Sus scrofa: one gene and its partners. The protein of the gene in region 2 purifies or fractionates together with the protein of the main gene of each other region. This does not show direct contact. Links are inferred from orthologs where the notes say so. Each region holds a gene or a part of one and is shown on either strand. Other genes may lie near its edges.

Region 1 (3,500 bases), about 55 Mb from region 2:
GTTAAGGGATGGATTCAAATATGTTTGGGAGGTCCCTTGTGGCGCAGAGGGTTAAGGATCCAGCATTGTCACTGCAGTGGCTCGGGTTGCTGCTGTGGCACAGATTTGATCCCTGGGCTGGGACTTTCCACATGCCACAGGCTCCCAAAACAAAAACTGTCTTCTAGCACATTCCATCAGTGGTACATCACACACTCTGCTCGATGTCAAACATCTCTAACATTGGCCTTATTTACTCTGATTGCTTGTGTATTGCAACTTTTTAACAGCCACTGTTTTAGGAAGGTACAGGGGGGGAATTTTTCTTTACCCTGAGTATCATCACTATCCCCAAATTACTGAGTAATTTACTTGCTCTTTAAATTAACATTTCCAAAATTAAGACTGCTTTGGTTACTTTTGGTTATTTTGATACAGCCCTTTGTGTACAAAGAAGTGACTTTAGTAATTTCTGTATTTTATTAAAAAGCTTAGTATGTCTTATATGTATATAAATTATTTGATGTTTAAACGGTGATACATCTTGGGTAAGCAGAGAGTTTATGAACTGTCCTGAATTTGGGTGGGGGGGGGAGAGTGGTGTCTTTTATATTTAGTGTTTATAATTAGTCCTTCTGCTTCTCTCAGGACTTGGATCATTCTATAGGAACTCAGTATAGCGCCAACCCACCTGTTACAATTGATGTACCAATGACAGACATGACATCTGGCTTGATGGGGCATAGCCAGTTGACCACCATTGATCAGTCAGAACTGAGTTCTCAACTTGGTTTGAGCTTAGGGGGTGGCACCATCCTGCCACCTGCCCAGTCACCTGAGGATCGTCTTTCAACCACCCCTTCACCTACTAGTTCACTTCATGAGGATGGTGTTGAGGAATTCCGGAGGGTGAGGCATTCCCTGCCAAAATCAAATCTGCCATGTTATTCTGGGAAACTCTTGCCCCACAGATTCTACTGAGTATTCTTTACTCCTGTCCTGCCATCTCCTTTGATCTTTTCTGGGTTTAGGGTCCCACCTCTCAACTTATAATTTACATTTCTCCTTCCAATCCCCATTCTTACTGGTCCTCACATACTTTACTAATATCTTAATCTTACTCCTTCTATTTTTAGCATTTCTGAAAATTCTATTCATGTGACTAATTTACCCCATTTAAAAGTCCATTTCTTAAGTTCTGCAGACACAATACTTCCCTTCTTCTTGTAATTTTCTTTTTCCCCTACAGCAACTTCCCAGCCAGAAGACAGTTGTGGTGGAAGCAGGGAAAAAGCAGAAGGCTCCAAAGAAGAGAAAAAAGAAAGATCCTAATGAACCTCAAAAACCAGTTTCAGCATATGCTTTGTTCTTTCGTGACACACAAGCTGCCATCAAGGGACAGAATCCCAATGCCACTTTTGGGGAGGTTTCAAAAATTGTGGCCTCCATGTGGGACAGTCTTGGAGAGGAGCAAAAGCAGGTGAGCAAATAATGAAGAACTAGGGGATAGTGAATACTCTAAGAAGCAAGGGGATAAAAACTAAGTTTTTAGAGTTCCCATTGTGGCACAGTGGAATCGAATCCGACTAGGAACCATGAGATTTCGGGTTCAATCCCTGGCCTCACTCAGTGGGTTAAGGATCCGGTGTTGCTGTGAGCTGTGGTGTAGGTCACAGACGAGGCTCGGATCCTGCATTGCTGTGGCTGTGGCGTAGGCTGGCAGCTACAGCTTCAATTTGACCTTTATCCTGGGAATCTCCATATGCCTCGGGTGTGGCCCAAAAAAGCAAAAGTTTTAACTTTTTTACAAATTCTTATTTGATATAAACTCTTTGTTAATGGCATTCAAGATCATTCTTTGTCTTAAAAGTTGTAGCCATACATGGAATCCAGAATACCCATCTAAAAATTATTAATTAGTAAAATAATTTAGTATGATAATTAGTTATTATAAAAACACTAAATCCAACTTTTTTTTTTCTGCAGTCCATTTTATTTTATTTTTTTTTTCCCACTGTATTTTTTTTTTTTGTTTTAAATCCAACTTTTCTAAGCCCTTTCTTTTCCATCTGTAAAATTAGGCTATGCTTCGGTAGGTTGCATGCTATAGTTAACTATAAAATCCATAACCAGGAGTTCCCTGGTAGCACAGTGGGTTAAGGACCCAGCCTTGTCACTAATGTGGTGAGGGTTCCATCCCATCCTAGGAAATTCCACATGCTGCAGGGGCAGCCAAAAAAAATAAAATCTACAACTGGAGTTCCCACTGTGGCTTAATGGGGGCTGTGGCATCTCTGCAGCACCAGGTTGCAGGTTTGATCCCCAGCTGGACACAGTTGGTTAAGGACCTGGTGTTATAGTCGCAGTGTTTATCACAGCTGTAGCTCAGATCTTATGGGCCTGGGAATTCCATAAACTACAAGCAGTCAAGAAAAAAAGGTATTAAAAAATAAAATCTACAACCAAGTTTGGATTTACATTTTTTTGATTGGCATCATATAAACTTGAAAAATATCATTTGGAGTTCCTGTCGTGGCGCAGTGGTTAACGAATCCAACTAGGAACCATGAGGTTGCAGGTTCGATCCCTGCCCTTGCTCAGTGGGTTAACGATCCGGCGTTACCGTGAGCTGTGGTGTAGGTTGCAGACGCAGCTCGGATCCCGAGTTGCTGTGGCTCTGGCATAGGCCAGTGGCTATAGCTCCGATTGGACCCCTAGTTTGGGAACCTCCATATACCGTGGGAGCGGCCCAAGAAATAGCAAAAAAAAAAAAAAAAAAAAAAAAAAAAAAAAATCATTAATTTCCCTAAATGTAATCTGGATTAAACGAATGAAAATTATGATACTATGTAAGATATAATTGAAATTGAATGGTTTTAATTATCATTACCCTAAAACTCCCCAGGTCTTATGTCACAGTGAGTTGTTAATCATTAAAACAAAAAACTGGAAGTTCCCACTGTGGCTCACTGGGATCTGCATCTCTGCAGCCCCAGGATGCAGGTTTGATCCCTGGCCTGGCACAGTGGGTTAAAGGATCTGGCATATCTGCAGCTGCGGCATAGGTCATAAGGGCAGCTCAGATCTGATCCCTGGCCTGCAAACTCCATGTGGGGCAAGGCACCAAAAAAAGAAAAAAAAAACAAAACAAAAAAAACCTGAATTTATTCTACAATAAATTTATTCTACAAAATTTATATCAGTTACCTACTTCTCAAGTAAATTTAATGGCTTAAGACAGTAGCAATTTATTATTTCTTACGATTCTACAAATTGGTTGGGTGGTTTTCTTGGTGTTTTTGCCTCATATCTACAGTTGTACTCAAATGGTAGCTAATATTTGATAGCTGGTCAAGATGACCTAGCTCCCACATCTGGCAGTTGGTGCTACCTATTGTCAAAAATGCCTTGGTTCTCTGTCATCCTCCAGTAGGCTAGACTGACTTCTTTACACTATGGCAGACTTAAAATAATGTTCCAAGAGAATAAAAACTGATGCCCCCAACATCTTTGTGTCAGTT
Region 2 (4,299 bases):
AGGTTATAGTCTCAGGAACCAAGTTCCTCCACTGCCTCTGCTTCTTCTCACCTAGGTTGTTAGGACCTGTCAATGTAAACATTTATTAACCTTTTCGTTGGGATTAAAAGGATGAGATTGTTATGCTTGTTTTTCTCTTCTGGTTTGAGAACAAATAGAACAAATTAACATGATCTTATAAGAAGCCTGTTTTCTTTTCTGCAGGAAATATAGTCGTCTTGGTAAAACACTGATTTTCCCCACCCTTCTGCTGGGCTCCCATCTGTTGTCTCTGTACTAGATGCGGGAAGCTGTTTGCTCCTTGCCACCTTCTCCCAGAGCGTTCCTCTTATCTCCCAAGTGTCGATATTACTGAAGTGGCTTTCTTTTCTGCTCAGAAGCCAGTGTTTAGGGGTATTGTGGATAACAATCCTAATCAGAACCATATTGATTCTGAGTGACCTCTCTTGAGCTTGGGTTCTGGCCTTAGGAATTGCTTTACATGTCTCTGTCTCATAACAGCTGTGTTTAGCTTTTAATTAATTCCTTTTCTAACCTGGTCTAGAGTAGCTACTTAACATTTAATGGCATTTTCCCAGCTTCTCGTTTGATTTGTTCCATTCTTTTTGGCCCCATAGTTTCTAATTTCAAGCATTCCTTGGGGAATCTTGGATGGTGGTGTGATTTAGGTGGGGAATGGGGGTCAGAGTCGCATCTTTGCTTTTGAAACCACAGTGCATTCTTGCCGTTAACTCTGAAACAATAAAAACGTGTGCAGTGTTTGGCTAATGAGTGACATTCTGTTCAAGGCTTAGGAGGACCTACTTAATATCCTTTACATCCATTTGTCTATTTTGGGGAGCTACCCCAAACTTATGTGGAGAGAGGTTCGGTTTTCAAGTGTCATTTTCTTCTCTTCCATCTACAGCTTTAGCTGATTATCTCCTGGTTCAAGCAGAACATATCTTGCCACATGTGGAGATGGACTCTTTATGGACTAAGATGGAAAGGAATTGACTCTTAGAAGGCACTTAGCTCAAGTACCCACAAATGGTCCAGTACTTACCAAGCTGTATATTTGCTTTAAAAAAAAAAACAAAACCAGATTTATCAGCAGCTAAGGAGAAACAGGACCTAATAAGCAAAAGTGCCTTGGAGAGTTGAGTGTTTGTTTGGGGGATGTGCATACAGTGTGGTGAGGTTGAACTGTCCTGGAAGGCTGTGCCTGGGAGCTAGAGGAGAGGTAAAGGCTACCTCAGGCCTCCAGCCTGTCTTCCCTTCAGTCGTGTGTTAACCAACCCTGTGCTCTGCCTGCCAGGACTGTTTTCTCGGTAGTAACAATTGTGTGGATTTTTCTTAGGTGGAAAATGGTGTGTACATTTGAATATAGCTTGGATAATTAGCCACTGTTAATTGTCAAATGTAGAGATGGAATAACTTATTAGTGGACAACTGGCACTGTCCTTGCCACCCATTTATTCTGGGATTTGTTTTATTCTCTCATCTTAGAAACCTCCAACATGGGTTCAGGTCCCATAGACCCCAAAGAGCTTCTCAAGGGCCTGGATAGCTTCCTTAACCGAGATGGGGAAGTCAAGAGTGTGGATGGGATTTCAAAGATTTTCAGGTGAGTCTGTACCCTTTGAATTTGTCGTGAGCAGAAGATACTCCATGTGGTGGTGGTAGTTACAGCAGACAGCAGTGAGTGTTCCTTGAGAGGAAAGAGTCAGTGGACTGAGATTCAAATCCAGTTACGTTAGGACTAGCGACAGAGAAAGCTGATTCCTTGGTCCCTGGCCTTATGGAATCTGGGTATTTGGAGAGCCAAAGTCCCAGCGGAAGGAAGGAAACAGGAGCCAGGTGCCCGAATTCTTGGTTCTGTTTTGGGTCACGTTCTGTATTCCCAGAACGTCATTTTCCTTCAGAGATCCTCAAGTTTTTCTGGAGAAAGCAAGAGACTGAGCCAATCCCAATCACATTTGAAGAGTTAGATTGTAGTTGAAGGCTAGAAGTATTCCCCCGAAGCAGAATCCAATGTGTCCTGTGTGCGAGGGATGCAGTGATGCTCACTTCCCCAGATCGGAGACTTCAGTATGTCCCCTCAGTTGTTTTCCATCCTTGGGTGGGTTTCCACATGGCTCCTGACCCACCCCTTCCTTCTAGTGGCCTCTGTGACCTCCCCCAGCTCTGCAGCAAAGTCCCAAGGCATCAGGGTCTCTAGGTGCTCCCGCAGAGTAGACAGCCTTCTACTCTGACTGCTGCACTTCTGACCTTAACTCATCTCTTACAGTCTGATGAAGGAAGCACGAAAGATGGTGAGTCGATGCACTTACTTGAACATTCTCCTGCAGACTCGTTCACCAGAAATACTGGTCAAGTAAGTGGGGACCTGGGCGGCTGGGATGGGAAGATGTAGTTAGAAGGCAGGGGAGGTGAGGCACAGGGTTCCTGGGTCATTGATGGGGGACTCATTGTGTGGGGTGAACTCCCAGGACCCCGAAGGGCATTACAGATTCTCCTCCCTGCCTGCAGGTTTATCGATGTTGGTGGTTACAAGCTTCTCAACAATTGGCTGACATACTCGAAGACAACCAACAACATTCCCCTCTTGCAGCAAATCCTGCTCACCTTGCAGCACCTACCGCTCACTGTTGACCATCTCAAGCAGGTACCCTCAGTCTTCCCAGTCATGGTTCTTCCCTTTTGGTTTAGCGTAGCAGACGGAAAACTGACAGAGACCCTGGTGTGGTTACACTCTTGGGCCTGTGGGGTAGAATGGTGGGGAAAAAATGCCACAGGTGTGGCCTGAAAAAGAAAAAAGTAGGAATTTTAAATCAGAATATTTGGTTTGAGCTTATCACCTTTAATAGGTGTGTAATATGGGGCACTTCCTAAATCAAAGCCTTGATTTTTCTCATCTGTAAGATGGGCATAATTGAACCTATCTGGGTGGCCTTAAGCAGTTAAGACCATGTTTCCAAAGGCTTTGTTAGAGGTAAAGTGCTGTCTCAGTGTTAGTCACCGTTCAAGAGCTCGAGAGTCTGTGGGTTGTTAGCTCTGAGGGGGCTGCGTTTACGCCTGGCGCTGAGCTTCCTGCTGTTCCCTGTCTCCCCTAGAACAACACGGCCAAGCTGGTGAAGCAGCTGAGCAAGTCAAGTGAGGATGAAGGTAAGGGCCACCAGTCCCTCCTCTCTGTCCTGGGCCTTCCTCTGCTACTTCTGCTCAGTCACCTTTGTTTCTAAAAATCTTTTGATGTAAAAGGCACACACTTAAAATTCTTCAGGAGAAATAGTGTCATCCTAGAATGTCTTGTCATCATTTACTTCTGTTTTTCTAAATAAATATAGCATATTCTAGGACCCTCAATTTCTATTTTCCTAACAACAGATAATGCTCGTTCTGCTATAGAGCACGGGCAGAATCCCGACTCCTGGACTGTATCGTAGCTTTGATAGCAACCAATTCTTTCCTTTTTTTCTTTTTCTTTTTATTGGCTTTTTTTGTCTTTTCAGGGCCGTACTTATGGCATAAGGAGGTTGTCAGGCTAGGGGTCTAGTCGGAGCTGTAGCCGCCAGTCTACGCCACAGCCACAGCAACGCAGGATCCAAGCCTTGTCTTCGACCTACACCACAACTCAACAGCAACGCCGGTTCCTTAACCCACTGAGCAAGGCCAGGGATCAAACCTGAAACCTCATGTTCCTAGTCGGATTCGTTTTTGCTGTGCCACAATGGAAACTTTTTTTTTTTTGGCTCGATTCTTTCCTTTTCTAAGACAGAGGGTTTTGGGAGCTCCTGATGAGGGCCATATTGTTCTGGCTTGAAGACAAAGCCTGGGTCCAGAAAGTCACAGGCTCTTCTTTAGAGAACAAAAGAAATAACCCAAAGATTTTATGCCCAAGGTATAAACCAGGAGCACAAGACACTAGTTTCCTGCGAGAGAGCAGTATTGTAGCAGAGCTGGTCCCCGAGCAGCCAAATACAGGCTTGCTCTTCATCTCTGGGAGTAGTGTCCTAGGTCCCTGTGGAAAAAAGCCTTTGGCCGTTTTGTGTGGAGGGAGCACCTAGGCCTGGGCAAGCCTATGTGTAGCTCCTTGAGCTAGAGGAGAAAACACAGGAAATGTATTCTAAGATGAAAGAGTCCTGATTTTGTTTCAACTCACAGGATTAAGTGAAAAACATTCCTTAGCTTTCCTTTCCTTTGGTAGTAGGAATGCTCAGTTTGGGGATTTTTTTTCTTTCTTTTTTTTAAACAAGTTTTATTTATTTATTTATTTATTTTTTGTCTTTTTGCTATTTCTTGGGCCGCTCCCCGCGGCAT
Region 3 (3,500 bases), on a different chromosome or scaffold from region 2:
CAGAAATTGCACAGAAAAATAACGCACAAATGTACAGTGTGTGTTAATGAAATGGAAACAACACTTAAATTTTTTCGTAGATAAATCTGGGGCCCTTGAGATCCCTGTGGCCCTCTGAAAAACACTGATGGGGAGGGGAGATTCTGAGCATTTCCTATCTTAGGTGTTAAAACAAGGAATTCTTAGAACTAACCTAGTAACCTGATATCACTTAAAATCTTCTGTATGAATGCAAATTCATTTATGAGGCTGGAGAAGAGAAGACAAGATGGAAGGCAAAAAAAAAGCTGGCCTCGGAGTTCCCGGCGTGGCGCAGTGGTTAACGAATCCGACTAGGAACCATGAAGTTGTGGATTCGATCCCTGGCCTTGCTCAGTGGGTTAACTATCCGGCCTTGCCATGAGCTGCGTGTGGTGTAGGTTGCAGACGCGGCTTGGTTCCCATGTTGCTGTGGCTCTGGCGTAGGCCAGTGGCTACAGCTCCGATTCAACCCCTAGCCTGGGAACCTCCACATGCCACAGGAGCGGCCCTAGAAAAGGCAAAAAGACAAAAAAAAAAACAAACAGAGAACTTTCAAAAAACAAAACAAAAAAAAAAAGCTGGCCTGGTGGGCAGGGGCTATAGGTGAACATGGCCGATTTGTGTGGCTTAGAGACAGAACTGAGACCTCAAGCCATGCCCACAAGGAGTCCGATTTTAGTAGGCAATAAAAAGACCTTTCTAACAATTTATACACTGAGAAGATGACCCCTTGATCATGATACTGTAAAGAAATCTTGGTATAGAAAATGCAGCTAAATAATCTCTTGAAATCCGAAGATTTTAAGTTCCTATTAGACATTAAAATCATATTCTTTTTAAGTATACTGAAAATAAATAAAGCCCAGCCAGAAAGCTAGTTAAACTGTTTTTTGCCTCTTTTTGTTTGTTTGCTTGTTTTTGGTCTTTTTTAGGGCCACACCCACGGCATATGGAGGTTTCCAGGCTAGGGGTCCAATTGGAGCTGCATCTGCCAGCCTCCACCACAGCCACAGCAACACCAGATCTGAGCCAAGTCCGCAACCTACACCACAGCTCACAGCAACACTGGATCCCCAACCCACTGAGTAAGGCCAGGGATCAAACCGACAACCTCACGGTTCCTAGTCGGATTTGTTTCCGCTGTGCCATGACTGGAACTCCCGCCTCTGTCTTTAAAATGTATCTTTGCAGATATTTTTAATTTTTATGTTAAATCTTATTTTTACTTCACTTGACTAAACTGAGATTTCTCCCCTACAGTGAGAGGGTCCAAACCTGGTAAGAATGTCCAGCTACAAGAGAATGAAATCAGAGGACTGTGCTTAAAGTCCCGAGAGATCTTTCTCAGTCAGCCTATCCTACTCGAACTTGAAGCACCACTCAAAATATGTGGTAAGTTTTGGCACACTAACAGTTACCTTTGATTACGTGATTGACCGACTGAGTCAGTGATATATGTATGACCTTGTATTAGCGAACAGAATCATTTAGCATATATGAATAATCTGGAACTACCTAAAATTAAGTAATTGTAGCTTTAGAATAAATACCTCTGATCTTAGATGGGTTTCAGATTTTCTGAAAATTATTTCACTCAAGGAATGTAAACATTTCAGGAGAAAGGAAAGAAATGAAACAGAATGGAGAGTTAAGAAGAGGCCCTAACTATATGAGTGTATAGGAATTATATTTAAGCTTAAAGAAACTCTGGTTATGCCTAAAAATAGACCTTCCTTGATGCCTTTTTGTAGTTCTGTTTCTACATGAAAGATGTGGATAATCTGTATAAAAACTAAGCTCTATCTGAAAAGTGCTATAGTTATTCTTTTAGCATGTTTGACTACATTAATAAAGTTTGTATGCAGATTTTTTTAAAGTACAATGCTCTTTGCCATTATCTCCAGGGAGAAGTTGAAAGCCAAATGCATTGGTAGGTGTAGTGGGTGTGTACTTTGTTTACACAGGACCAGGGCTCTCAAGAAATGCAGCTGTGCTGCTGTTACAATGCTGGGAGACTGAACCGTTGGAGATCTGATAATGATCAGCCAACCTGAAAGGAAAACCATGTTACTTGGCAAGAAGGTCTCCCTAGGCATTAATAATTCTTTCCACAAAATAAATTCTTAATTAGTTCTGTGTGAGATTCGGTATATATACATACACTTAAAATTTTAATTAAGCTCAATTGAACTAAATAGTATAGAAGATTGGAAATTAATTAGTTTAGTGGTTTGAACTATATGTATGAAGATACTATAACAAAAATTCTTCCTTCTAGGTGATATCCATGGGCAATACTATGATTTGCTTCGACTTTTTGAATACGGTGGTTTCCCGCCAGAAAGCAATTACCTGTTTCTTGGGGACTATGTGGACAGGGGAAAACAGTCATTGGAAACTATCTGCCTTTTATTGGCTTACAAAATCAAATATCCCGAGAATTTTTTTCTTCTCAGAGGAAACCACGAATGTGCCAGCATCAATAGAATTTATGGATTTTATGATGAATGTAAGTACTTTCTGTATCTAAGAAAAAGTTACTTAAATTGAGATACTTGGGCATAAACTGAACATCCTCCTCCTCTGGTGGAGGATTTTTTGGTGCTGCTGCTGGTTAAATAACTATATAAAATGCTTAATTTTTTTTTTTTTTTTTAATCCTTACCTCTACCTTTTTGTATTCATTATTTTCGGCAGAAGAAGGTTTAGGCTGCAAAGAGAGGAGTAGTTAAGGAATTTGATTACTGGCACTTGCCAATATAATTATAACAAGACCAGTAAAGCACTGTCACTGTGGCCTCCCCTAGACTATGTGATCATAACCTATAGTCGCTCAGGGTGTGATGTTTTTCCATCTCAGTTTCACGTAGATGTATTCAGCTAGCTTGTTTGTTAGAAGTACACTGCTGGAAAGGTTACATTCATAGACTTAGCCCTCTTGCTCCCAACCATGGTTGTATATTTGTTTGATCTCTGGCCCCAAGACCCAGCTTATAAAATGAAGTGGGAGGAATTACCAAGGAGAAGAAATCTGTGGGTTCTGACAGAATTCAGCAACTAAGTTAGGAAAGAGAGATTTGATATTGACAGTGAGTCTATCAGAGAAGTATTCTTAAGGCAGTTAGTTACTACTCTTTAGGTAGTGAAATGAGAGGCAGAAAAGTTTTATAATATTGTGTTTTGGACACTTGTATAGTGCTGCTTTTCAGAACAGGTTAAGAAGTGGTTCCTTTTACACAGCTGTTAGTGAAAACTTTCATGTTTTCATCAAAGTTATTCAGACCCAGTGATCTCTTTGTTGTGACATAGATCCTAGTGTGAGGGTATTGGCTACATCATTTTTGGTTTCTGTTTAATGTAGAGGCCTTAATGATGCAGAAGGTCAGCATTGATTGGTGTCAATTTTGGCTCTTGTCCTCAAGACTGATATAATGACCTTGTACTCCAGCTTTCCCCTCTCTCATCAGGCAAGTATAATT

Evidence for each region. The genes of interacting proteins can lie anywhere in the genome.
Region 1: the proteins of PPP1R10 (region 2) and TOX4 purify together in Homo sapiens (affinity purification with mass spectrometry; 3 studies listed by BioGRID and IntAct, counting the BioPlex papers as one, with this or other methods). This does not show direct contact. The link is inferred for Sus scrofa from reciprocal best matches to the Homo sapiens genes PPP1R10 and TOX4.
Region 3: the proteins of PPP1R10 (region 2) and PPP1CC purify together in Homo sapiens (affinity purification with mass spectrometry; 8 studies listed by BioGRID and IntAct, counting the BioPlex papers as one, with this or other methods). This does not show direct contact. The link is inferred for Sus scrofa from reciprocal best matches to the Homo sapiens genes PPP1R10 and PPP1CC.

The regions. Positions count from the first base shown.
Region 1 is NC_010449.5:77,685,453-77,688,952, reverse strand, and holds part of TOX4 (TOX high mobility group box family member 4), read left to right. Parts: intron 1-627; coding exon 628-888; intron 889-1,228; coding exon 1,229-1,459; intron 1,460-3,500. UniProt on the Homo sapiens protein: Transcription factor that modulates cell fate reprogramming from the somatic state to the pluripotent and neuronal fate. In liver, controls the expression of hormone-regulated gluconeogenic genes such as G6PC1 and PCK1.
Region 2 is NC_010449.5:23,155,951-23,160,249, reverse strand, and holds the start of PPP1R10 (serine/threonine-protein phosphatase 1 regulatory subunit 10), read left to right. Parts: upstream 1-1,499; coding exon 1,500-1,606; intron 1,607-2,269; coding exon 2,270-2,356; intron 2,357-2,511; coding exon 2,512-2,647; intron 2,648-3,095; coding exon 3,096-3,147; intron 3,148-4,299.
Region 3 is NC_010456.5:32,077,768-32,081,267, reverse strand, and holds part of PPP1CC (serine/threonine-protein phosphatase PP1-gamma catalytic subunit), read left to right. Parts: intron 1-1,281; coding exon 1,282-1,413; intron 1,414-2,299; coding exon 2,300-2,530; intron 2,531-3,500. UniProt on the Homo sapiens protein: Protein phosphatase that associates with over 200 regulatory proteins to form highly specific holoenzymes which dephosphorylate hundreds of biological targets.